4 linked regions of the Arabidopsis thaliana genome follow. The protein of the gene in region 4 interacts with the protein of the main gene of each other region in a pairwise test. Each region holds a gene or a part of one and is shown on either strand. Other genes may lie near its edges. The genes, in order: AT2G38330, AT3G52640, PTR5 and TRX5.

The links.
Region 1: the proteins of TRX5 (region 4) and AT2G38330 interact in a protein complementation assay, tested with the Arabidopsis thaliana proteins (one large-scale study listed by BioGRID).
Region 2: the proteins of TRX5 (region 4) and AT3G52640 interact in a protein complementation assay, tested with the Arabidopsis thaliana proteins (one large-scale study listed by BioGRID).
Region 3: the proteins of TRX5 (region 4) and PTR5 interact in a protein complementation assay, tested with the Arabidopsis thaliana proteins (one large-scale study listed by BioGRID).

What each region holds. Positions count from the first base shown.
Region 1 is NC_003071.7:16,062,680-16,067,961, forward strand, and holds AT2G38330 (MATE efflux family protein), read left to right. Parts: upstream 1-1,823; 5' UTR 1,824-1,891; coding exon 1,892-2,106; intron 2,107-2,186; coding exon 2,187-2,296; intron 2,297-2,382; coding exon 2,383-2,535; intron 2,536-2,638; coding exon 2,639-2,760; intron 2,761-2,862; coding exon 2,863-2,998; intron 2,999-3,150; coding exon 3,151-3,247; intron 3,248-3,345; coding exon 3,346-3,446; intron 3,447-3,524; coding exon 3,525-3,688; intron 3,689-3,828; coding exon 3,829-3,900; intron 3,901-3,988; coding exon 3,989-4,105; intron 4,106-4,186; coding exon 4,187-4,282; intron 4,283-4,368; coding exon 4,369-4,490; intron 4,491-4,578; coding exon 4,579-4,639; 3' UTR 4,640-4,758; downstream 4,759-5,282. Other genes in the region: DREB19 (Integrase-type DNA-binding superfamily protein), read right to left, coding at 4,768-5,282.
Region 2 is NC_003074.8:19,514,545-19,522,437, reverse strand, and holds AT3G52640 (Zn-dependent exopeptidases superfamily protein), read left to right. Parts: upstream 1-1,893; 5' UTR 1,894-2,020; intron 2,021-2,095; 5' UTR 2,096-2,147; coding exon 2,148-2,232; intron 2,233-2,322; coding exon 2,323-2,436; intron 2,437-2,520; coding exon 2,521-2,635; intron 2,636-3,196; coding exon 3,197-3,279; intron 3,280-3,427; coding exon 3,428-3,504; intron 3,505-3,905; coding exon 3,906-3,983; intron 3,984-4,601; coding exon 4,602-4,673; intron 4,674-4,775; coding exon 4,776-4,849; intron 4,850-4,947; coding exon 4,948-5,080; intron 5,081-5,187; coding exon 5,188-5,259; intron 5,260-5,345; coding exon 5,346-5,465; intron 5,466-5,683; coding exon 5,684-5,755; intron 5,756-5,861; coding exon 5,862-6,002; intron 6,003-6,192; coding exon 6,193-6,809; coding exon of another isoform or gene 6,810-6,813; exon of another isoform or gene 6,814-7,095; coding exon 7,096-7,360; 3' UTR 7,361-7,565; downstream 7,566-7,893. Other genes in the region: AT3G52630 (Nucleic acid-binding, OB-fold-like protein), read right to left, coding at 7,842-7,893. UniProt on the Arabidopsis thaliana protein: Probable subunit of the gamma-secretase complex, an endoprotease complex that catalyzes the intramembrane cleavage of integral membrane proteins such as Notch.
Region 3 is NC_003076.8:60,507-65,527, forward strand, and holds PTR5 (peptide transporter 5), read right to left. Parts: upstream 3,431-5,021; 5' UTR 3,275-3,430; intron 2,808-3,274; exon of another isoform or gene 2,769-2,807; 5' UTR 2,735-2,768; coding exon 2,626-2,734; intron 2,530-2,625; coding exon 2,312-2,529; intron 2,211-2,311; coding exon 1,660-2,210; intron 1,586-1,659; coding exon 751-1,585; 3' UTR 511-750; downstream 1-510. UniProt on the Arabidopsis thaliana protein: Peptide transporter. Mediates the transport of di- and tripeptides. High affinity transporter. Involved in the uptake of peptides during pollen germination and tube growth.
Region 4 is NC_003070.9:17,074,417-17,078,162, reverse strand, and holds TRX5 (thioredoxin H-type 5), read left to right. Parts: upstream 1-1,745; 5' UTR 1,746-1,906; coding exon 1,907-1,993; intron 1,994-2,629; coding exon 2,630-2,899; 3' UTR 2,900-3,221; downstream 3,222-3,746. Other genes in the region: AT1G45150 (alpha-1,6-mannosyl-glycoprotein 2-beta-N-acetylglucosaminyltransferase), read left to right, coding at 1-104, 183-305, 384-548.

The sequences.
Region 1 (5,282 bases), on a different chromosome or scaffold from region 4:
TATTCTTGGTGATTCTTCTTCTACGTTTTCACTTTCTTCTTCAGAGACCTTATTAATATGTTAATTGCATGAATTTATGTAACATTCAAGAAAAAGAGATCGAATACAAGAAACCGGAAATTTAATTTCTAATTTGAATTCTATGCATGTTTGTTTCTTTGCCAATTTAGTACGAATATATTTATGGTCCGGAGTTCTAACCAAAGATAGTTGCTCTGTATATAGAAGTTATACATCTCGCTTGTTTAAACTAAATAACTATTTAGTTTGTCTTGGTAGTCCAGTGACTTTCTGCAAACATTGGGATTTATAATATAGTCAAAACGTTGGGATATGTAGTATTCATTTTCGTTGTAAAAATCATTATATTTTGCAAAGGTTGCAACGTAAAACGTTGTATTGAATTTAGGAGAAAGTAGCCATTTACAATGAATTTTAGTGACAAACTGTTGTATACAGCCTGTGCCACTAAGTATGTCTATATCTAAATTTGGAATGGATGATAACCAGTATTGGTCAATAATGGATAATTTGGTATTTAGAATTACTAATTTGGTATTTTAGTGACAAACTGTTGTATGGAATTTAGGAGAACGCGTTCCCAAGCTATATATTATATGTATTTCATTCTTTCATATGTTATATTATGAATTGTTATAAAAAAGACCAATGAGCAACGGTTTAAGGTTTAATCAGTAATCGATCCGACCAATCATATACAAGTTCCTAACACATCTTCTAACTACTGAGTAAAATAGTAATGCTATTACAAAGGTTTTTTCTTTTCAAAATACAGCCTAATGCTACTACAAAATTCTAATGTTATAAAATAATCATAGGAGAAGTAAACCCCGGTATTTAATTAATACCTTACAAACTTACATTATTGATAAAGTTGAATGAAGAGTTATATGGTCCATTTAGTATTATTTACTTAATATGATACTAGTGTTAGACGTGTTACTGTATTTCAACGTGCATAATCAGGTTGTTCAAAAAGAGAGAGGATAGGTCTTCTTCTTCTGTAATTTGCTGGGACCGCAAGTCATGTGAGGCTGCTCTGCTGATGCTGCACGGCGTCGCAACTCTCTCAATAAATTCTTTTAACTAACGCTCCAATTTTCGATGTAAATTGGCTGACTTCAATTCTATGCCTTACTCTTGTACTCTATGTTTCTTTATCTATTAAAATCCAACTCTGCTTTTGAACCCAAAAAACAAAACAAAAACCAACTCTGCTGAATCATGAAACACGTCCTTGATCTTTATTTTTATTTTTTCCCAATATATGCTCTTAAGAACTAGTTATTGCTTTTGAACCCAAAAAAAGAATTCTGAGTTTTAGGATATCAAATGATCTTACAACTTTCTATATCAAGATTCTTGAACACTAGATATGCGGATTTCAAATATACTCCCAAAAATCAAAATATGCGGACCTATAATCCAAATTTGGATCCATTCAAAAAACAACTAAACAAAATTTTAAGTGTATAAAAAAAATGCAAATCCAAGTCACAAGATAACTGGAGAAAGAGATATTTCTTTTGAGTTGTTGCTAAATTGAGAAAGTGAGTGATAATACACGAATCAAACTCATGACTTACATATGAGAGTCACGGCACAACAAAGAAAAAAGATGAAGCTATCTTAAAGATACAAAGTGTAACATTGGCAGAAAAAAAAACAAAAAACAAAGTAACAAACAAACAAGCTATTTAAAAGCCCAATAAAAAGCCCATTAAAGGCCCATCCATAAGGTACAGCTAGTTTAGACATGTGACCGTTTAATCAGTTAGTGAGTAGAGATAGATAAAAAGAGTGAACATCAACATGTGGCTCTCTTTCTTCCTCCTCCGCCGAGATTTTTCTCCGTCTCTCGTTCTCCGCAATGGCGGCGGTCGCTACCTCCTTCTGTTTCTCTCCCCATCGATCGCCGTCACGTTTTGGAAACCCTAATTCATCCATTCGAAGAACAATCGTCTGTAAATCATCTCCTCGCGATGAATCTCCAGCCGTCTCCACTTCTTCTCAGCGACCGGAAAAGCAGCAGAATCCTCTGACTTCACAGAATAAACCGGATCATGATCACAAACCGGATCCTGGGTTCGTACCTTAGCCTAATAATGCTTCTTCTGTATTCAACTTTGAATGGTTTCTAATGTATTTGATTTTTTTGGGTTTAGGATTGGTAAAATTGGAATGGAGATAATGTCAATTGCATTACCTGCTGCATTAGCTTTAGCTGCTGATCCTATAACATCTCTTGTCGACACTGCCTTCGTTGGCCATATTGGTAAATACTTACTTTTTGCTTGGTTTCAACAATTTCACATTTTTCGAAAGTTCACATTTTTAACATTCATATGTGTAATGTGACAGGTTCTGCGGAATTAGCTGCAGTAGGAGTGTCAGTTTCTGTATTCAATTTGGTGTCGAAGCTCTTCAATGTTCCTTTACTAAATGTCACAACATCGTTTGTTGCGGAGGAGCAAGCAATTGCTGCTAAGGATGATAATGATTCTATAGAAACAAGTATTTTACTTTCCTTAAAGCTTATAATGAAAAATGTTTTTATTGTTTTCTTCAAAGATTGTTTCTTTACTTTGAATCTGTTGTTTATTTGTTGGTGTTAAAGGCAAGAAAGTGCTGCCTTCGGTTTCAACTTCATTAGTTCTTGCTGCTGGAGTTGGTATTGCAGAGGCCATTGCGCTATCTCTCGGGTCTGATTTCTTGATGGATGTCATGGCTATACCTTTTGTAATGTCTCTAAGCTCACGTTGAACTTCTTTTATATAAGCTGTTATCTTTGAAGTTTTGTATAGCTGATCGCTCTTCTTTCTCGGTTTGTAATTTTTTTAGGATTCACCAATGCGGATACCAGCAGAGCAGTTCCTCAGACTTCGAGCGTATGGTGCACCACCAATTGTTGTTGCATTGGCTGCGCAAGGAGCTTTTCGAGGTTTCAAGGACACAACAACGCCTCTATATGCCGTTGGCAAGTATTGCACAATCATCTATTTTTTTTGTATTTATGCATGAATGGATCTGAGGAAATAAATAGTATATGCGCATTAGCTCACTAGACCGTATATATGCATTAGCAGTTTCACATACATGTTTCTAATATGGTGAACTCTATATCAACAGTTGCGGGGAATGTACTTAATGCGGTATTGGATCCAATCCTGATATTTGTCCTTGGTTTTGGTATCTCTGGTGCTGCGGCTGCTACTGTGATTTCTGAGTATGTCCAAAAATGTGGTAATAGACTCGTTTTCTAGTAAAGCATATCTATCTTAATTTGTGGCTTCTTATGTTTCTCACTTGTCAACGTTTCTTCAGATACTTGATTGCATTTATTCTTCTATGGAAGTTGAATGAGAATGTAGTTTTGCTCTCTCCTCAAATCAAAGTGGGAAGAGCCAACCAGTACCTCAAATCAGGTAATTCCTTAAAATTTTCAAGTTTTCTTTAAACGATTCAGAAAGGCTACTATATGAAATGTATTGATTCATGCTTAGGTGGGCTTCTCATTGGTAGAACGGTGGCTTTGCTTGTGCCATTCACATTAGCTACTTCGTTAGCAGCTCAAAATGGACCCACTCAAATGGCTGGCCATCAAATCGTCTTGGAAATCTGGTTGGCTGTCTCTTTACTCACCGATGCTTTAGCCATTGCTGCACAGGTCTAATATCTTTTGCAAATCATCTTCGAAACAGACAATCTCTACCAAGATTTACTGTGATATAAGAATCCCATTAGCATGATCCAAGATTACCTTTTGGGGAGAAGATTTTCACTTATATTTTCTACCTCTATTTTCAGAGTCTTCTTGCCACCACTTACTCTCAAGGAGAATACAAACAAGCCCGGGAAGTTCTCTTCGGAGTCCTTCAAGTTCGTATTCATAATTCATTACATCCCTAGTTTATATCCTACCCTATATATTCGATGTTATAATGTACAATTGCAATCTTTTAAGTAGGTAGGTTTAGCAACTGGAACTGGTTTGGCTGCTGTATTGTTCATCACTTTCGAACCATTTTCAAGCTTATTCACAACGGATTCAGAAGTTTTAAAGATTGCTTTGTCAGGGACCTTAGTAAGATCTTATCTTTTAATCCAGAAAGAGTTTGAAAAGGGTAGTCTCAGACAATATCTAAATAATGTTGGCTGGATGCAGTTTGTGGCTGGATCTCAACCGGTGAATGCTCTAGCGTTTGTTTTGGATGGGCTCTATTATGGTGTCTCTGACTTCGGATTTGCCGCTTATTCTATGGTCCCTTTTCCTTCTTCATCAATTGGTCGTTTGATTCTCCCTTTTCTTCACCTGGAAAAAGTTGATTATTTCTCATTTTGGAACAGGTGATTGTCGGATTCATATCTTCCTTGTTCATGCTTGTGGCTGCACCAACGTTTGGCCTTGCCGGGATCTGGACTGGTTTGTTCCTCTTCATGGCGTTGCGGTTGGTTGCTGGAGCCTGGAGGTAAACAATTAATTAAAAAGACCGTTCTAGTTTCAAGTTTTCAACCCATCCGAAATTTTTCTTAAAAGGATACTGCGTCATGTTTCAGATTGGGGACAAGAACCGGTCCATGGAAAATGCTATGGTCTGCTCCAGAGAAGCCAGAATGAAGCGGATCACTGTTTTTTGCGGTATGATGCGTGACTCTTAAGTTAAGATAAATGAAAATGGAGTAAACTAACAATGTAAAAAACATAGTCTCATAGTCATAGTATATTGATGCAGCATAAATCCTAAGCTAGAATCTGAAATACTCAAAATATGAATCGAATCCACCTCCCTGGTGATAACTGGAGCTTTGAGGTTCATTATACAACAATCCGTTATCCAATTTGAATCGATCATAGCTGTAACCTTCCTCTGATTTCACTGCTGGGTTCACTATTTCATTATCAGTCATAGGATTCTGAGTCTTGTCATGGCCAAGCTCAATAGCGTCTTCATTGTAGACTACATAGTCTTTTCCACCTTCCGTTTCAATCACGCCATTACCGGCTTTGTTAGTTTCCAACCAATAGCCTCCCGAACTTTCCGCCTCCTCGTCCTTCTTCCTTCCCCCACCCAAATCTTCCGGGAAATTTAACCTGGCATAGGGTCCGTACATGACACTAGCAGCTCTGTCGTAAGCCAAAGCAGCTTCAGCTGCAGTAGCAAACGTGCCAAGCCAAAGCCGTTTACTACGACTAGAGTTTGCACCACGGTGACTCACTGGTTCACGTATCTCAGCAACCCATTTCCCCCAAACCCTTTGTC
Region 2 (7,893 bases), on a different chromosome or scaffold from region 4:
TAATGCGGCTAAAAAGGTGACAAACAAATAGACAAAGAGAGAAGAGGGCGATGAAATGCTCAACAGGTGAAACAAAAAAAGATAAGAAACGAAATGACCCCTGAGAGCGGATAAAAACCATGATATCATAGGCCTTGGTTAGATGCAAAGAAGGTTAAAATATTCATGGCAACAAGAAAGATAAGAAGGGCTAAAGTCAAAATAGTATCTTTGCTTAGAAAACTCCAGCTCCATGTTAGAATCTCCCACAACAGACATTGTTCAGAATTTGCAAGTGATATTTTTTATGCTGCCAATCTAACCTGTTAAGAGAATCCTCAGCTTATAACTACAATTCTATTTGATTATTTCACACAAATTGACCACAATGATAGATACAACCAAGAACAACCCAATACACATACAAAGCTATAACTCAGAGAAATGTCAATCAAAGGCGTGTTTAAGCTAACTTAGCAATCATTGGAACAAAAATGAGAGAAAGATTCAGTTTTTAATTAAGATAAGAAGAGTTACACAAATCCCAATTTTGGATCCCCAACCAAAAAAAAAGATTCACGAAAGGAAACGAAGAGAGGCGCAATGAGATGAAAGAAGAAAGAGCGAGAAAGTACCTGAGAGAGCTGCCGGAAGAAAACCCTAATTTTGAGAATTACGGAGAGGATGAAGAAGTGTCTATCTTCGCGCACCTCAGGTGTTGAAAAATATGTATATGTGTATGTTGTATTGATATGACCTAAAAGATGCCTAAGCGAGACTATCAAGGAGGTGTAGTCACTTTTTATTATGATGCGACCAATCTTATATTACGGCTTATTACCGATCTTAATATACGACAAATTTGATTTTTATGCAAAAAAAACTTTCAAGTTGGATGAGAATTTGCGCCTTATATTTTTTTTACACATTGTTTTCAAAATTAACACTAGTTTTTTCTTAATTAACATGCAGTTTATACATGATCTACGTTATTTGTTAAAATCACATATGGAATAATTTCTTTAAAATTATAGTTTTACCATATACAATATGTTTTTTTTTTTATCAATTTTTAGCCAAAACTTGCCTATATAATCTAGCAAATAATACCCTAATCAATCATAATTAGTCTACGATTTTGTAAAAATGAAGCCATAAAATGTAATACAAATTTCTTACAAAAAAAAAAAGAAAATGTGGAATGAAAATATTTTTTCTTTTTGTATAAACAACTAGATTATAACCCGCGGTACACCGCGGAGACAATTATTTTTTAAAATTAGTATATATAAAAGTCTGTAAATTATATTTATCTATAAAATATTTATATTTTATAGTTTACAATTGTTATTAAGTAACATCCTTCCAAACCCGTTCTGCCAAACCCGTCCCGTTAAAAAAATTTGTAGTACACCGCTAATTTAAAAAAAAAAATTACGGGATTGCAATTATATTTTAGTTTGTCAAACAAATTTTTGTTTTAAATAGTTGTCGAAATCTAATTCAAATTTTGGAGAAATAAGATTTAGTGAACTGATAAGAAATGTATTTATGTGCGTTTTGCTCATTTTAAGGGATTGCAATTGTATTTTGGTTTGTCAAATATTTTTTGTTTTAAATAATTTCCGAAATCTAGTTCAAATTTTGGAGAAATCTGCGTGATATATGGGATTGGAATATATTTGGAATATTTTTTGTTTGTTAATCAATTTATTGCTAAAAGAAAATAAATAAATAAAAGCCAGTGGCAGCCATTGTAAATAAGTTCCAAATCTAGGATTTATTTTACAAAATGGCTGCAAAAATATATATATAGATAGGTTCACTTAATTACTTTTAATATAATAAAATCCGCACAAAATGTGAATACCTCAATTTTTCTATATCTTGGGAATTTTGAAAGACATAAGAATCAACACGAAAAATCTCAGTCTTTGACTCAGACTCCCACCGCGTAATTCCGAGCTAGGTTTCCATTTCTCCGGCGAATCGGACCTCTCTCTCGCTCTCTCTTCCAATTTCCCCTTTTTTCGTTTCCCAGGTACTGCTTCTTCCGATTCTAACATTTTTTGATCTTTTATAAAATCGGTCACATTATTCTTGATCGTATCTGCAGCGATGATTTGCAAGTAGCTTCCGCTAATAATCGCAACTCTCTGACGGATGCTATGGCAATGGGACTTATTCGTCTTCTTTCTATAGCTTTTACACTTGTTCTACTTTCAATCCTTCCTCTTCATCTCTCTCTCGCTGGTGAGTTTCCTTTCCCCGGATAAAATTGGTGATGAAATGTATTAGTTGATAGAACATTGTAATCTGAAATTGAGGTTTCGTTTTGTGTAGATGAGATAACATCTATTGAATCTGTACCTGACCTTCAGAAGCTAATGTATGTTGCTGTTGATGGGTTTCCTTGTGTACGTCTTCTCAATCTGTCTGGAGAGATTGGATGTTCAAGTAAGCTTCTTTTGGGCCTCTCAGCTACATGATTTTTATCTGTTGATGAGGTCCTCTAAGTTTTATGTTTATAAAAATACTCAGATCCTGGAATAAATAAAGTGGTGGCTCCAATCATAAAATTAAAGGACGTTAAAGATTTGGTTCAGCCACACACTATTTTGGTTACAGCTGATGAAATGGAAGATTTCTTTACCAGGCATGTCTCCTTTTTCATTTACAAAACTTTCATGACCTCTATTCGATTTTGTTAGTGATCTCTTAATTTGTGGAGTAGTGCTTTCCCACTCGCTTGTAGTTCTCATTTTGGTGTTTTATTTAACGTCAAACAAGATTTAGCTTTTGGGTGCCAAATCAGCCTTTTTGGAAAGGCAATTACATCCTTAAGAATAACGTATATCTAAGAGTTTGTTTTCATTAGTACTTGAGTATTTAAGGCAAACACTTTTAGTAATCTTCCATGACAGTGAAACAACAGATTGGAATGAGTATACCCTCTTATCACCATTTTTGAAATCTGCTAGAAATGTAGTCACTTGGTTGTTGGTGCATGGATTAGGTGTTTAGTGGAACCAGTAATTCATTGGCTTTTTCCGCTTTATTTTCATTCGACTAACGGAAAGTAGGTATACCTCCAAACACTTTACTGTAGAACCCTGCAGTCTGGCTTACTTCTGGCATTGTTCATTAGACTTGTACATCGCTTAGACACTCTATTCAGTAGAAATAACAGGACCACTCCTCTTTGTGCCTTTTCCAGGGTGTCAACTGATTTGAGCTTTGCTAGCAAAATTGGTGGTGTTCTAGTTGAATCAGGATCTAATTTCCAACAAAAGTTAAAAGGTACTATGTCCATCCACATATTTATGATTCTGTCAACTTGAATGGCTAATTCCTTAAATTGTCTTGAGTTCTTAATTCCCTTAAAAATAGTACTTGATACTTCTTATCTATGTTGATGGCGTTAGTGTTTCTTTCTTCTTTATTGTAGGGTTTTCTCCTGATAAAAGGTTTCCTCAAGCCCAGTTTTCACCCTATGAAAACGTTGAGTACAAATGGAATTCAGCTGTACGGTAGCGTAAACTCTGTCTGGATCTTTGAAATTACTTCTTCCTGTCAACTCTTTTATAGTGGGTTGGAAATTGTTTCAATCAGTTATCACCAAATCCATAGTCAAGCATTTCCGAGTTATATGCTGTTTTCTTCTGGAACTAAACTTAACTACCTGCTAACACACAAATACCATAAATCCTTTTCTTATGGTATAATTTTACTGGAGGAATGCATGTATCTGCCTAGATGATCACTTATAAAGAAGTTCAAAAATCTGTTGCATATTTATCTACCTTAATTAAAAGATAGTTCCTCTTATTGTTATCTACGGAGAAAAAATGATTTTGATTCTTATGAGTAGTTGCAGGCGATAAGTCTCTAGCCATTGACCATTGCTAAAAAATGATTATTTGCAGGCATCAAGCATCATGTGGAGAAATTATAATTTTCCTGTGTACTTATTGTCAGAAAGTGGCATATCAGCTGTGCATGAGGTAATCCTTCAAACTTGCATTCTTTTGCAAATTTTAAATGTGTCTATTTGTGTTGTCAGAAAAGCGAAATTGATGACATTTTTAGAAATATGAGGAAATGAACTCAAGGCTTAGAGAGGCATTATGACTGTTGGTCACTCTTAAGAGCAGTATTGCTTGATGAAAATATGGCTGTAAAATGATGCATGAGATATGTATCTCCAAGGTCATATGAAATGAATACTCCTAGTTTAAACTGAATTAGTCTGCAGAAATTTTTCTAAGCATTGATTACCCATTTTAAATAAGAATACAAATTTGGTCCTGGAATGTTTGTCTCATCCAGCTGAAGGCAACTCCCAGCTGCATCTGTAGATTTCAAATGCATGTTGCTTTCCATAGCCTGTAATTGGACTCAACCATAGCCTTTCCATTTGTCTTGTGGTAGTTGCCTTTAAACTGCTGGTCAACTATGTCATTCTATAGTATGTTGTTGTCCTTACCAGATGAGGTTCTGTCAAGAAGCTAGCTTTATGTTTCTGTTGTGTTGGTAGCAATCTAAAGTGTATAGTTTATGTGGATAGCTTCACTTTTTTCAGGTTATCGACTACATATTTACATCCTATTATATTTGCGCAGATCCTTTCCAAGAAAAAGATGAAGCATGGAACATATACCAGTGATGTTGCTGAATTCAATATGGTTATGGAGGTATATGGCTTTAGCAATCTTGCTCACTGGAACGTTAACCAGCTTTATGGATCTTCACTTTGACTTAGATTATGACACCCAATTCTCTATTTTTTGTATTAGACTACCAAAGCTGGAACACACAATTCGGAGGCTTGTTTGCAGGAGGGAACTTGCCTCCCATTGGGCGGATATAGGTAAAGATTTAGGTCTTTATTACTGTCTGATCTAATGACATATGAAAACCTTTTAAAGGATACGTTTCGTTTTCTAACAACTTTGTTATGAAGGACAGTGTTTGGTCCTCGCTTCCACCAATCAGTGTTTCGTCTTCCAACAATCGCAAACCAGTTGTGCTGACTGTGGCCTCCATGGATACTGCATCATTTTTCCGTGACAAAAGTTTTGGTGCAGATTCACCAATATCTGTGAGAACTTGCTATTTTCTGCTTTTGGGTTGATCTAGAATACATTTATTTACTCTTCTTATTCTTCTTTTCCCGATTTATTGCTCAACACGTTCTCCTTCTTTCAGGGTCTGGTAGCTCTTCTAGGAGCAGTTGATGCTCTTTCTCGAGTTGATGGTATTAGTAATCTCAAAAAACAGGTGCCAGTGTACCATGTGATTTAGTGTTATTTCACGCTTTTTGTTGTTTGCAAGCTTTAATACATGTAAATCGTAAATGAATGCAGCTTGTGTTTTTGGTTCTGACCGGAGAGACATGGGGTTACCTTGGCAGCAGGAGGTTCTTACACGAATTAGATCTGCATTCAGATGCTGTCGCAGGCCTTAGCAATACTTCGATTGAAACGGTAATCATTATTGTTTTGGTCTGACAAAGTTGATAGAGACAGCTAGCCTTATGCATGAAATCCCTGTGGAAAAAGTTGCCTGTGTTTCATCGTTGCTGCAACTTATTTGTTTCTTAGTAGCGCAGAAAGCAAGTTTAAGTGTTCCTTGTGAAATTGAATGTTCACAATTTTCTAAATCTAAAGATCGAATTCAGATTGCTTCTTCTATTATCTAACAGGTGCTTGAAATAGGATCTGTTGGAAAAGGTTTAAGTGGAGGGATAAACACCTTCTTTGCTCATAAAACAAGGGTGAGAAATTCCTGATATCCTGAAACTCTTGCATAATTCGAATTCGTTCGATAATGTGAAAACTGTCATAGGCGACTTAACCTCCACTTTTGGTGTTCTGCTTTAGGTTTCTTCAGTTACAAACATGACACTGGATGCTTTAAAGATAGCTCAGGATTCACTTGCATCAAAAAACATCAAAATTCTTTCAGCAGATACTGCAAACCCTGGAATACCCCCATCCTCCTTGATGGCTTTCATGAGAAAGGTACAATATATATTCCAAGTAAATAGATGGGAAGACAATTCAAATGTGTATTCGCACTATACTCTTTGCATATACTTCACCTTCAGTTGATCATGAATATGACAGGAGAAGTATACTTGCTTACTATTATGTGATTCTGAACCAGATTGCCTAGAGTGAAAAAGGTATAACATCATATTCATTGTTGCAGAACCCTCAGACTTCAGCTGTTGTACTTGAAGACTTTGATACCAACTTTGTGAATAAGTTCTACCATAGTCACCTCGATGACTTGTGTAAGAAGAGTCACAGCCTGTCTTTCTCTTCTTTTCGCTCCAAACCCCATTTTGCACTTTTGATTCCTTTCTGGTGTTGTATTGCAGCAAATATCAACTCCTCGTCTGTAGTAGCTGCTGCTTCTGTTGTGGCCCGAACACTTTACATCCTAGCAAGTGACAACAAAGATACAAGCAATTCAGCTCTGGGATCCATCCATGTCAATGCTTCTTTCGTTGAAGAGCTTCTAACCTGTCTTTTAGCTTGTGAACCGGGCTTATCTTGCAACTTGGTAAAAGACTATATTTCACCGACAAACACTTGTCCAGGCAACTATGCTGGCGTCATCCTCGGAGAACCTTCCTCCAAACCTTACCTTGGTTACGTCGGTGATGTTTCTAGATTCCTATGGAACTTTCTGGCAGATAAAACATCTGTCCAAAAGGGAAATACAACCTCAGTTTGTTCAAAAGGAGTCTGTAGCAAAACTGACGAAGTGTGCATCAAAGCAGAGAGCAACAAGGAAGGAACATGTGTTGTCTCCACAACCAGGTAAACTCTGTGCTTGGAAATTGCAATTTGGTTTGCATGCTCAAGTTCTCTCTTATGTCTCAAAATGAACCAAAATCTTAAGTCTGGTAGGCATTTTATAGGAATTATTAATTAGGATAGGCTTCAGAAGTGGAGTGTTTTTAGACTTGGGAGAAAGTCTATCTTTAGTTTGTTGACCTTTGAATTGAAGCTATCATCATTTTCTTCTTCCCCTGACCTGATATGTTGTATGTGACCTAACCAATTTGCTGTCTGAGCATAACACATTAAGTTCTGGTTTTGGCAGGTATGTTCCAGCTTATTCAACTCGATTGAAGTATAACGATGGAGCTTGGACAATTCTACCACAGAACTCATCAGATTCTATGGGGATGGTTGATCCAGTGTGGACCGAAAGCAACTGGGACACTTTAAGGGTGCATGTGTACACAGTCCAGCACTCAGCATACGACAATGCAGTCCTCGTTGCAGGTATTACAGTCACAACGTTGGCTTACATCGGAATTTTGGCTGCTAAGTCAATCATCACAAAAGCCTTGAAGCAGGACTGAGACTTGTATTTAATTCCCTCTCCTCTCGGCTCAAAATTACTTGTCAGTTTCCGTAAGACATTGCCTAACCAGCAACACCACCAATACCTTAGTGGTAGAAACCTTTTTTCTCAACCAAGGTTATTAAAATATGTCTTTGAGCTAATTCATGTTAAATTCTTTATTACACTGGCAAGAAATTTATAAGAAAAAAGTTTGCTTTCACAAAATCCTATAGATAAAGCAACAATACAATTCTAAATCCAGAGCAAAATCTTAGCTGCCAAGAAGAAAATAGTGTTTTGTTTTGTGTTTTGGTACCTCAATTAACAAAACAGCAATTTAAGCTTAGTTGTGATAGATTAAGAAGTTGTTACATATACTAAGTAAATAAAATCATAGAACCAGAAAGTGGTGAGACATCAAATACATATAAAGCATAAGCATCTCTACAAAATGTTTTAATGGAATCGCTTCCATGATCATAATCATCATCACAACATTAGATGAACAAGTGCTTGAACTCCCCATTTGCTAGCTTACATAGCTCGTTG
Region 3 (5,021 bases), on a different chromosome or scaffold from region 4:
CCGCATTAGTATCATCTTCTCTTAACTTCACCAACTAGCTAAGTCTGAGTTCCAGGCCTTTCTCTGTGTCTGCATTACCAAGCTTGCATAGAGATTGAATCTTTAAGTAGCTTAAACAAACATAACAAATGGTTTTTGAAGTGAGCAGCATAAGCACACACATCGGTCTTGGTGGTTTGAGTAAACATCACTGAGATTTGTTGTTTTACGATGCAATAGCAAATGTAAAAGTAGCTTGACGTATCAAGCCCAAGTGTTAAGTTTCAAACTTGGGTCTATTAATCAAGTTATATGATCTTTGTTGCTACCTTTTTCCCTTTATTTGCTTTTTTCATTCTCTATTCAAAATCAGCCAACCTTTGCTTGTATTTCCATTCTCCACTGTCTCTCTAATCTGATCAATCCTGCAGGTTCTTTGAAAGCTTGCATTCGAGTCTCAGAGCGTTTGATCACGGATTCATCACTACTATTCTAGTTGCAATCAAAGAAATGGTTTCACTAGCGGAATCTCAGCACAACGCTTGTGTTAAATACAAACCCTTGAACTCTGCAACCACAAAGCAATAAGGATAGTCGAATTCAAAAGTAGTATCTTGTAACCTAAACTCAAGCAAAGAACTTCAAACTTGCTTGTTTATGAAAAATAAAAATAATATCTGTAAATATGTTTCAGTAACGAGATTATCAAACATTGCGACTAATTTCAAATCAGAATTCGTGATTGCAGCCATCGTTATGTTTTTTGTATCATCAAAGCGCATGCCCGGTCGTTTTCTTGTAAGTGTACCATTTAGCAATCCAAAGGTAGACCAAGAAATTCAAGAAACTCAGACCAGCTAATAGCCAAAAGAAGTAATCAAGATGACCATTGTTGAGGTTCTTAGCGATCCAGCCTGGTCTTCCACCTGATCTCGTGACTTTAGTGACCAATGTCACCAGAAATGTGCTCAGATAGTTCCCAAATGCAATTGCGGTGAGCGACAAAGCCGAGCAGAGACTCCTCATAGCATCAGGAGCTTGGTCATAGAAGAACTCAAGCTGACCTATAAACGTGAAAACCTCGGCGCAACCCACCAAAAAATACTGCGGAACTTGCCAGAAAATCGTCATCGGGATAGTCTCTTCATTGTAAAGATTGTGTGTTTGAACGTAGTTTAACCTTGCGACCTCGAGGATTCCCGCAGAGACCATAGAAAAGATGGAGATTACAAGCCCGATTCCAATCCGTTGAAGCTGTGTGAATCCGCGTTCGTGACCTGTGTATTTCCGGGCGAAGGGAACAATTAGCTTGTCGTAGACAGGTGCCCAAAACAGGACACTAAGCGTATCGAATAAGGAGAGTGATGCGGAAGGGATTTTGAAGTTAGGTCCCATGTGTTGGTCCAGTGTGTTGCCTTGTAGTACAAACACAGTCCCCATTTGGCTATAAACCGAAGCGAAAACAATCCCTGTGGCCCAAATCGGTAAGAGACGGATCAGTGCTTTGAGCTCTTCTACTTGTGTCACTGTGCATAGCTTCCATGAAGACGACTTAGCTGCTCCTTTGTTGTCACTCTCTGTTTCCACTGCTGCCTTATCAAAGAACCTGAAATGATTTGAAGTGAGCCAAAAGTTAACCTAACAACACAAAATTACAGACCGGACTTGCTTGTGCCTTACGTTAATATTTTGGTGTGTTCGAGCTTGCGGCTTCCTATGATACTGCTTTCGGCGTCTTGGTTCTCGTAGAGAAGAGATTCATCTTCAGGAATTTTCACTTTAGATTTTCTGCATGAAGCCACAATGACTTGCAGCATTCTTGTGAGAGGACTTCCTCCTGGTTTCTGCAGCCTGTAGAAGTTGCTTCCGGCGAAGAAGAACACGACGGCTATAGCCATTGCGACGGTGGGAACACCTAAACCCCAACCCCAACCAACATTCATCTGAATCCAAACGAGAACAGAGGAAGCAATCATTGCACCAACGTTGATCACAAAGTAGAACCAGTTAAAGAAAGAGCTCTTAGACTCTTTCTCTTTTTCGTCTGTATCATCAAACTGATCAGCACCAAAGGAAGAGACACAAGGCTTGATCCCTCCAGTTCCGAGTGCGATCAAGTAAAGCGCTATGAATGTAATAGCGGTTTGACCCGCTGTTGCGTGACAGGTTTCTCCGCTGCAGGTTGGTGTTAGACCAGGAACCGAAGCTGATATCGTCAATAGCGTCATTCCCTAAATTACAGAAACAAAAAAAAAAAGAGCAAACAGTTTCAAGATTCTGTGATTTTCTTTGTTCACGTTGAGAGCAAACAGAGCAAAGAGTAAATTATTACGGCAATGTAGATGACGACAAAGGAAGCGATGGTCCAGTATCGACCGAGATAAGCATCGGCGATAAAAGCACCGATCAAAGGAGTAGCGTAACATGTTCCAGACCAGTTACTGACACTCTTAGAAGCAGAGACGTTTTCCATATTCATTTGTTTCTCGAGATAGTTGATGAGATTAGTACTCATTCCATAGTAAGCTAATCTTTCACAGCACTCAGTTCCTGCCAATTGCTCATAGATACAATCAAATCAAATTCAGAACAAAAAAAAACGATTTGGTTTTTATTACAACAAAAGATTAAAGGTTTGAACAATACCAAGAATGAATCTGCAAGCTTTCCAGGTTCCAGTTTTATTCTTGTTGGCTGGTTTCTTGTGAATGTCAAGAGTTCCATCTTTTGTGTATATATCCTTGTCATCTTCCATTGTTGTTTGGTTTCGACAAGTTTAAGTGTGACCCCTGAGTTTTCAACAATGTGAGAATTTTTGACCTGATTTACTGAGAAAAAGGACAAAAGATGACTTCTTTGCCAAGTAAAATCTACACAACGATATTTCTACGACTAATTATCGGATTTAGACAGATAAGCCTCCATATATATATATGTGTGACTCCACGAAGAAACAGAATTGAAAAACATCGATTTATTTTATGAGCAATAGCCAAAGTAATGTCCATTACATGCATCATGACAAAAACATAACGCGTTTTCTAGACACAAACTGACAAAATCGGAAGCCATACATACATATATAATTTCGTCGAAGAAAGCTACGGATCTGAAAACTCGAAAACACACAATCGCAAATTTCGTTTGAAAATGAAAATAAATCTAAGAACACTCCTCCCGAAAATGTGTGATTACTAGTAACAGAAATTGTTCATAGAATCAAAAAAAAGACAGATCAAAGATAACCAGATTTAATATTTAGAAACGGTTAATCGTTGGTGAAAGATTCGTTTACCTTTTCTCGGGGAAGCGACGACAGAGTTTTGTGCCGGGATTTGAACTACACGGCTGAGGAAGATAAACTTGAGGGCTTGAGCGTTTCGTTTTGCGCCGTGTGATAGATATTTATAAGGAAACACTCTGAATAGTGAAGGTGAATCAGGCAGTTTCGTGATTTTACCAGTTACGTCCTCGCATTTATTATCTTTCTCTTTGTTATTTTGTTGAATTTTGAATAACTTTCTTGAATCTTTGAGAAGATGTGGGGATGCTAAATCCTATTCATAGTAATGTATCATTAAAGATTGTGGTTGTGTAGGTTTGAATCCCTTTCATTTATATGTTAAAGAATCAAAAATTATAACAAAATTACCTAATTCCTAACAAAAAATTGAAATAGTTATGGAAACATATCTTTTTGTTTTTGATCAAAAGGAAACATATCTATAAACGGATAATCAATATTGTGAACAAAAAAAAAACGGATAATTAATACACCAAATAACTTATGGATTCTTTTTGTGATTGTGTCCAGATTCATGGAACGGTTACATGACACATCGATCATAGAATTGAAATTTATTTCAACGACTCAAGAGAATAGCAGATTGAGAATCTCTGTACAACTTTTCTATTTCTACAACTTCTAGTCAAAACAAACCTACCACACAAAAGAAGTGTTAAGTGGTAGAGAAAGATTAACTTTTTTAACCATAAACTCACAAGAGGTTAAACAAACCTACCACGCAAAAGAATTGTTAATATCCTGATTAGTAGAACTAATAAACTTGTTTGAAAACTTAATGCACACGCATTATCTGTGACCTATATATGGAATAAACAAAATGCGTAAACAAGTTGTAATAGATGTTAATATAACCACGAAAAAACAAAAAACAAAAGTTGAGAGACTATAGAACTATGAAAATAAGTTTAATAGTACTTAAGAAAAAAAATTGATATAATTTTCTGTTATGTTTTCTCAGATTGTTTTCTACGATTGATGCTGTGAAGAACTAACTTGTTTCTTATTGATTCATAATGAGGTTACATCACATATATATACATACTTGAGGAGGTTACATGTCTAATGGGCTAGGTTACAAAAGCCCATAACTACTTAAGTATATGACCGACCTAAGTATAGTCTCCATGGGCCGGACCTACGGGCCGGACTGACTGTGGCTTCTCTCCATGGACCGGGCCGACAGGCCGACGGGCCGATGGACCGATGGACTGATGGGCCGACTGGTCGATGGGCCGTCACACCAATGGGCTGACGGACCTATCCTCCAAAGACATGGGCCACGGTTATGGAGTCCATCCAACAAGTGGTTTACAACACTCCCCCTTGGATGACATAACCGTGTAGATGCCAACGGGATCTCAGTAATACGCTAGGGGAATGCTGCCTCATTAAAACCTTACTAGGAAAACCCTTTTCGGGACAAAACCATAGTGAGGAAAAAGAGTACAGCACGCATTACTCCCCCTGAATTGGTCATCTCTATAAGTCCTTAAGCCTCCGCATCCCAACCTGATGCGCGAGCTTCCTCAATGTCGTTGCTGGTAATGCCTTGGTGAATAGATCGGCTGAATTGTCGCTTGAACGTACTTGCACCACCTTAACTTCACCATCCTTCTGTAAGTCATGCGTGAAGAAGAACTTGGGCAGAATGTGCTTCGTCCGATCTCCCTTGATGTATCCTTCCTTGAGCTGAGCAATGCATGCCGCGTTGTCCTCGTATATGATGGTCGGCTCC
Region 4 (3,746 bases):
CACAGCAACGGGCAGTGATGTGGCGTGTGTGGAAAGAAGGTGGAACCGGGTTCTTGTACTGGGGTGCAAATTGCTATGAGAAGGCAACGGTTCCAAGCGCCGAGGTTATTTTCTTATCCTTAGTTCTGTTGTAAATGTTTCTTGATCGATTGCTTCATGATATTATATAACCAAATGAATAGGTAAAGTTTAGGCGCGGTCTTCCTCCTGGTGATGGAGTTCTTTACTACCCCGGTGAAGTTTTCTCATCTTCTTCAGAGCCAGTTGCTTCACTTAGGCTAGAGCGCCTTCTTAGTGGCTTACAGGTACGTCAACTTTATAGTTTTACCAATCAGATAACAACGAAAAACTGTTCCAGTTGGCTTATTTGGAGAATGAATCAGGATTATGAGTACTTGAAGCTGTATGAGTCAAAATACGGAAGAGAGGAAGCGATGGGGCTATTGGAGAAGACAGGGGTGTACACGGGGCCGGAGCGCTACACTTTGGAACATAGACCGATCGATGTATTGCGAGGAGAAGTGTACAACACATGTAGACCATCTTGAGTAACCAGATCGTTTAGTATCTATAAACACTCTCGGTTAGCCCTAAGTTAATAATAAAAGAACATAACAAGAAAACTCTAACAATGTCTAGATTACCAGTGAAAAAGGTTAATTAGTATGAAAATAATAAAATAGATAGATTTGCTTTGTACTTCTGATTCTTTAATTTGTTGGGAAATACTGTATCTGAAAAAGCTCATTTTATGTGGTGCTAGGTTGATATCATTCATCATAGTCACGTATGAATGGAAGGGCACAAGACATAATCATCCAACAAAAAAGGATATAAAACCTACACTGACTAAAAATTAGGAAAAAATGTTATTTAATCCCCAACTTTCAAAAAATGGCCATTTTATTCGTCAACTTCGTATGCGGTCGTTTAAAACATGAACTAAACGTTGACTAACTTTTAAAACATGATCATTCGTCGACCAGGCCAAAATAGACATGATGTTATCAGTTATTAACGGAACTTCTAACGTCTGTTATCATCTGTTAACGACTTTATTAGTCAAGTTTTAAATTGTGGTCATTTTAAACATCAACTTGGCCATTTAAAACATGAACTAAACGTTGACTACCATTTAAGATATGAACAATTCGTTGACCTGACCAAAATAGACATGTTTTTATCAGTAATTAATAGAACCTAGAAACCCGTTATTATCCGTTAGTGACTGTTAATCAGTCTAAAACGACGTCGTTTGAGAATAAAATTAGTGTCAAAGCGTAAACACACATACAGCCAGCTCTCGGTTCTATCATTAGTGAAAGAACATTACTAGAATTTGATTTATTAGAGGAATAAAGAAGATTGATCAAAAACAGCTTGCATTATTATTCAAAACATAAATCTAGCATATTATAGATAATATTTTTCTTATTGTCTTAGATAAAGTTTCCATTCAACTTTGCACGTCTAAAAGCTCGGAATAGTCCACAAATTATCACATAGAAAAAAACTTATATTCGTGCCGACAAAAACAAACGTTACTTTTTTATATCTGCAAGGACGAGAAAAGAACGGATAAACTCATATATCGTGCACACAAAACATGCGTGTCTTCTACATCTAGAACTGTCGTTACTCGTTACCATCATCACGCCGTTGACCTAGACTCATGCCTATTCTTTAATCGTTTAATATAAACCGTTGGATCCCTTCACACTCCTACGCGTCAAGATCGAACTCATTTTAGGAAAATAATTAAAAAAAAAGACCGAGAAGAGGTAGAGGTATAGGTGGTCAAGTCTTGCCTATAAAAGCTGATCCCAACAAGAATAATTCTTTCATTCACCAAAAAAAACTCATCAATCAAACAAAACTCTTAAAAGCTTAAGAACAAATAATAAAAATGGCCGGTGAAGGAGAAGTGATTGCTTGCCATACCCTCGAAGTTTGGAACGAGAAGGTCAAAGACGCCAATGAATCCAAGAAACTGGTACTTTTCTCTTCTTCTCCTCTCTAGGGTTTCTTCTTCTATTTGATTTGATTACTTTACTTAGGGTTTTCAGTTTTCTTGATCTAGTGGTAAACTGGTAATTCATGTTAGATACAAAACCTTGGTTTTTATCATGTTCATGTACCATGTCTTGATTTGGTCTGAAATTTGATAGAAACTGGTATTTTCTCGTCCTGTCTAGGGTTTTTTTTGTTTTTTAATTTGAGTTGGTTACGTTACTTAGGGTTTAGGGCTTTCTTGGTTAGTTAGCTTAATGGTGAATGATGTTCGAGAAACGGTTGCTTTTGATCCCGTTCTTGTCCCATATCTTGCTCTGGTGGTCCCAAATTGATAGAAGCTAGAACTTTCTCTTGTCCTGTCTAGGGTTTTGTTCAATTTGATTTGATTACTTTACTTAGGGATTACGGTTCGTCTTGATTAGCTACCTTAGTGGTGAATGATAATTGTATCCTGATATGGTCTGAAATTATAGAAACTTTACTTTCTCTTGTTATGTCCAGGGCTTTTTTTCAATTTGATTTGATTACGTTATGGTTTAGGGTTTTCTTGATTAGTTAGTTTAGTGGTGAATGATGTTTGTGTTCTGATTTGTTCTGAAATTTTGATTGAAACCAGATTGTGATAGACTTCACAGCATCATGGTGTCCACCTTGCCGTTTCATTGCACCAGTGTTTGCAGAGATGGCTAAGAAGTTCACTAATGTTGTCTTCTTCAAGATCGATGTTGATGAATTGCAAGCTGTTGCTCAGGAATTCAAAGTTGAGGCAATGCCTACTTTTGTTTTCATGAAAGAAGGCAACATCATTGATCGTGTTGTCGGTGCTGCGAAAGATGAGATCAATGAGAAGCTGATGAAGCATGGTGGTCTTGTAGCTTCTGCTTGATTGATTTCAGTTTCTAACTCTTTGCATCATAATAAAGTTTTTATCTTTCGTATGAAATAAAAGTGATGCATTGCTACTGCACATTTGTATTATAACTATGTTGATTTTTCGATTACTGGTTTGTTATCTCTTGGCTTCAACCACGAACACGAAAATAGCGACACACATTAAGACTGGTTTTAAACACGATAAGAGAGCGTAGGTTGAAAATATGTAGTTATGAACAGAGCAGTGATTAGTTCTCTGATTTCCACTATAAATGTGTGAAAATGTTATGTAATACTATGGAAAAATCACTTTCAACAGCTCATATTTCTCCATCTACGTCACGTCTATATCTCTTTAAGTTCCTTGAAGTTTTATCCAACGTTTCTCTGTTTTTATCCTTGAACAAGAACTGAAACAGAGAAAACAAGAGAAGATGAAGCTGACCTGTAGATTCAAACATTTCCCTATGCTCTTTAGATCCAAAGCCAGCCGCTCGTTCCCTCTAGGCGCGTCAGAGTAGGCCTGTCGATGGGACTAGCATAGACACATAGTGACTCTACTTGAACAAGCGTCAGACTGCATACAGCAGGTTAGAGCTGGTAGGACTTGGTTAGTGATCCACTACAAAAATAATCCATATCAATAGCACACGAGGATAGATCAGTTTTCCCTACTGCAATAAAAGATGAGTTCATAGTTCATATTAAAAATGAGTTCATAGATGCGGCACAGAGAGATGATTCGAGAACAAGTGAGGAGATAACGGATTTAACAATACGGTTGAAGGAGGCTTATATAGATGAAGAACAATATTGGTACCAGAAAAGTAGGAGTTTATGGATGAAGGTTGGGGATAATA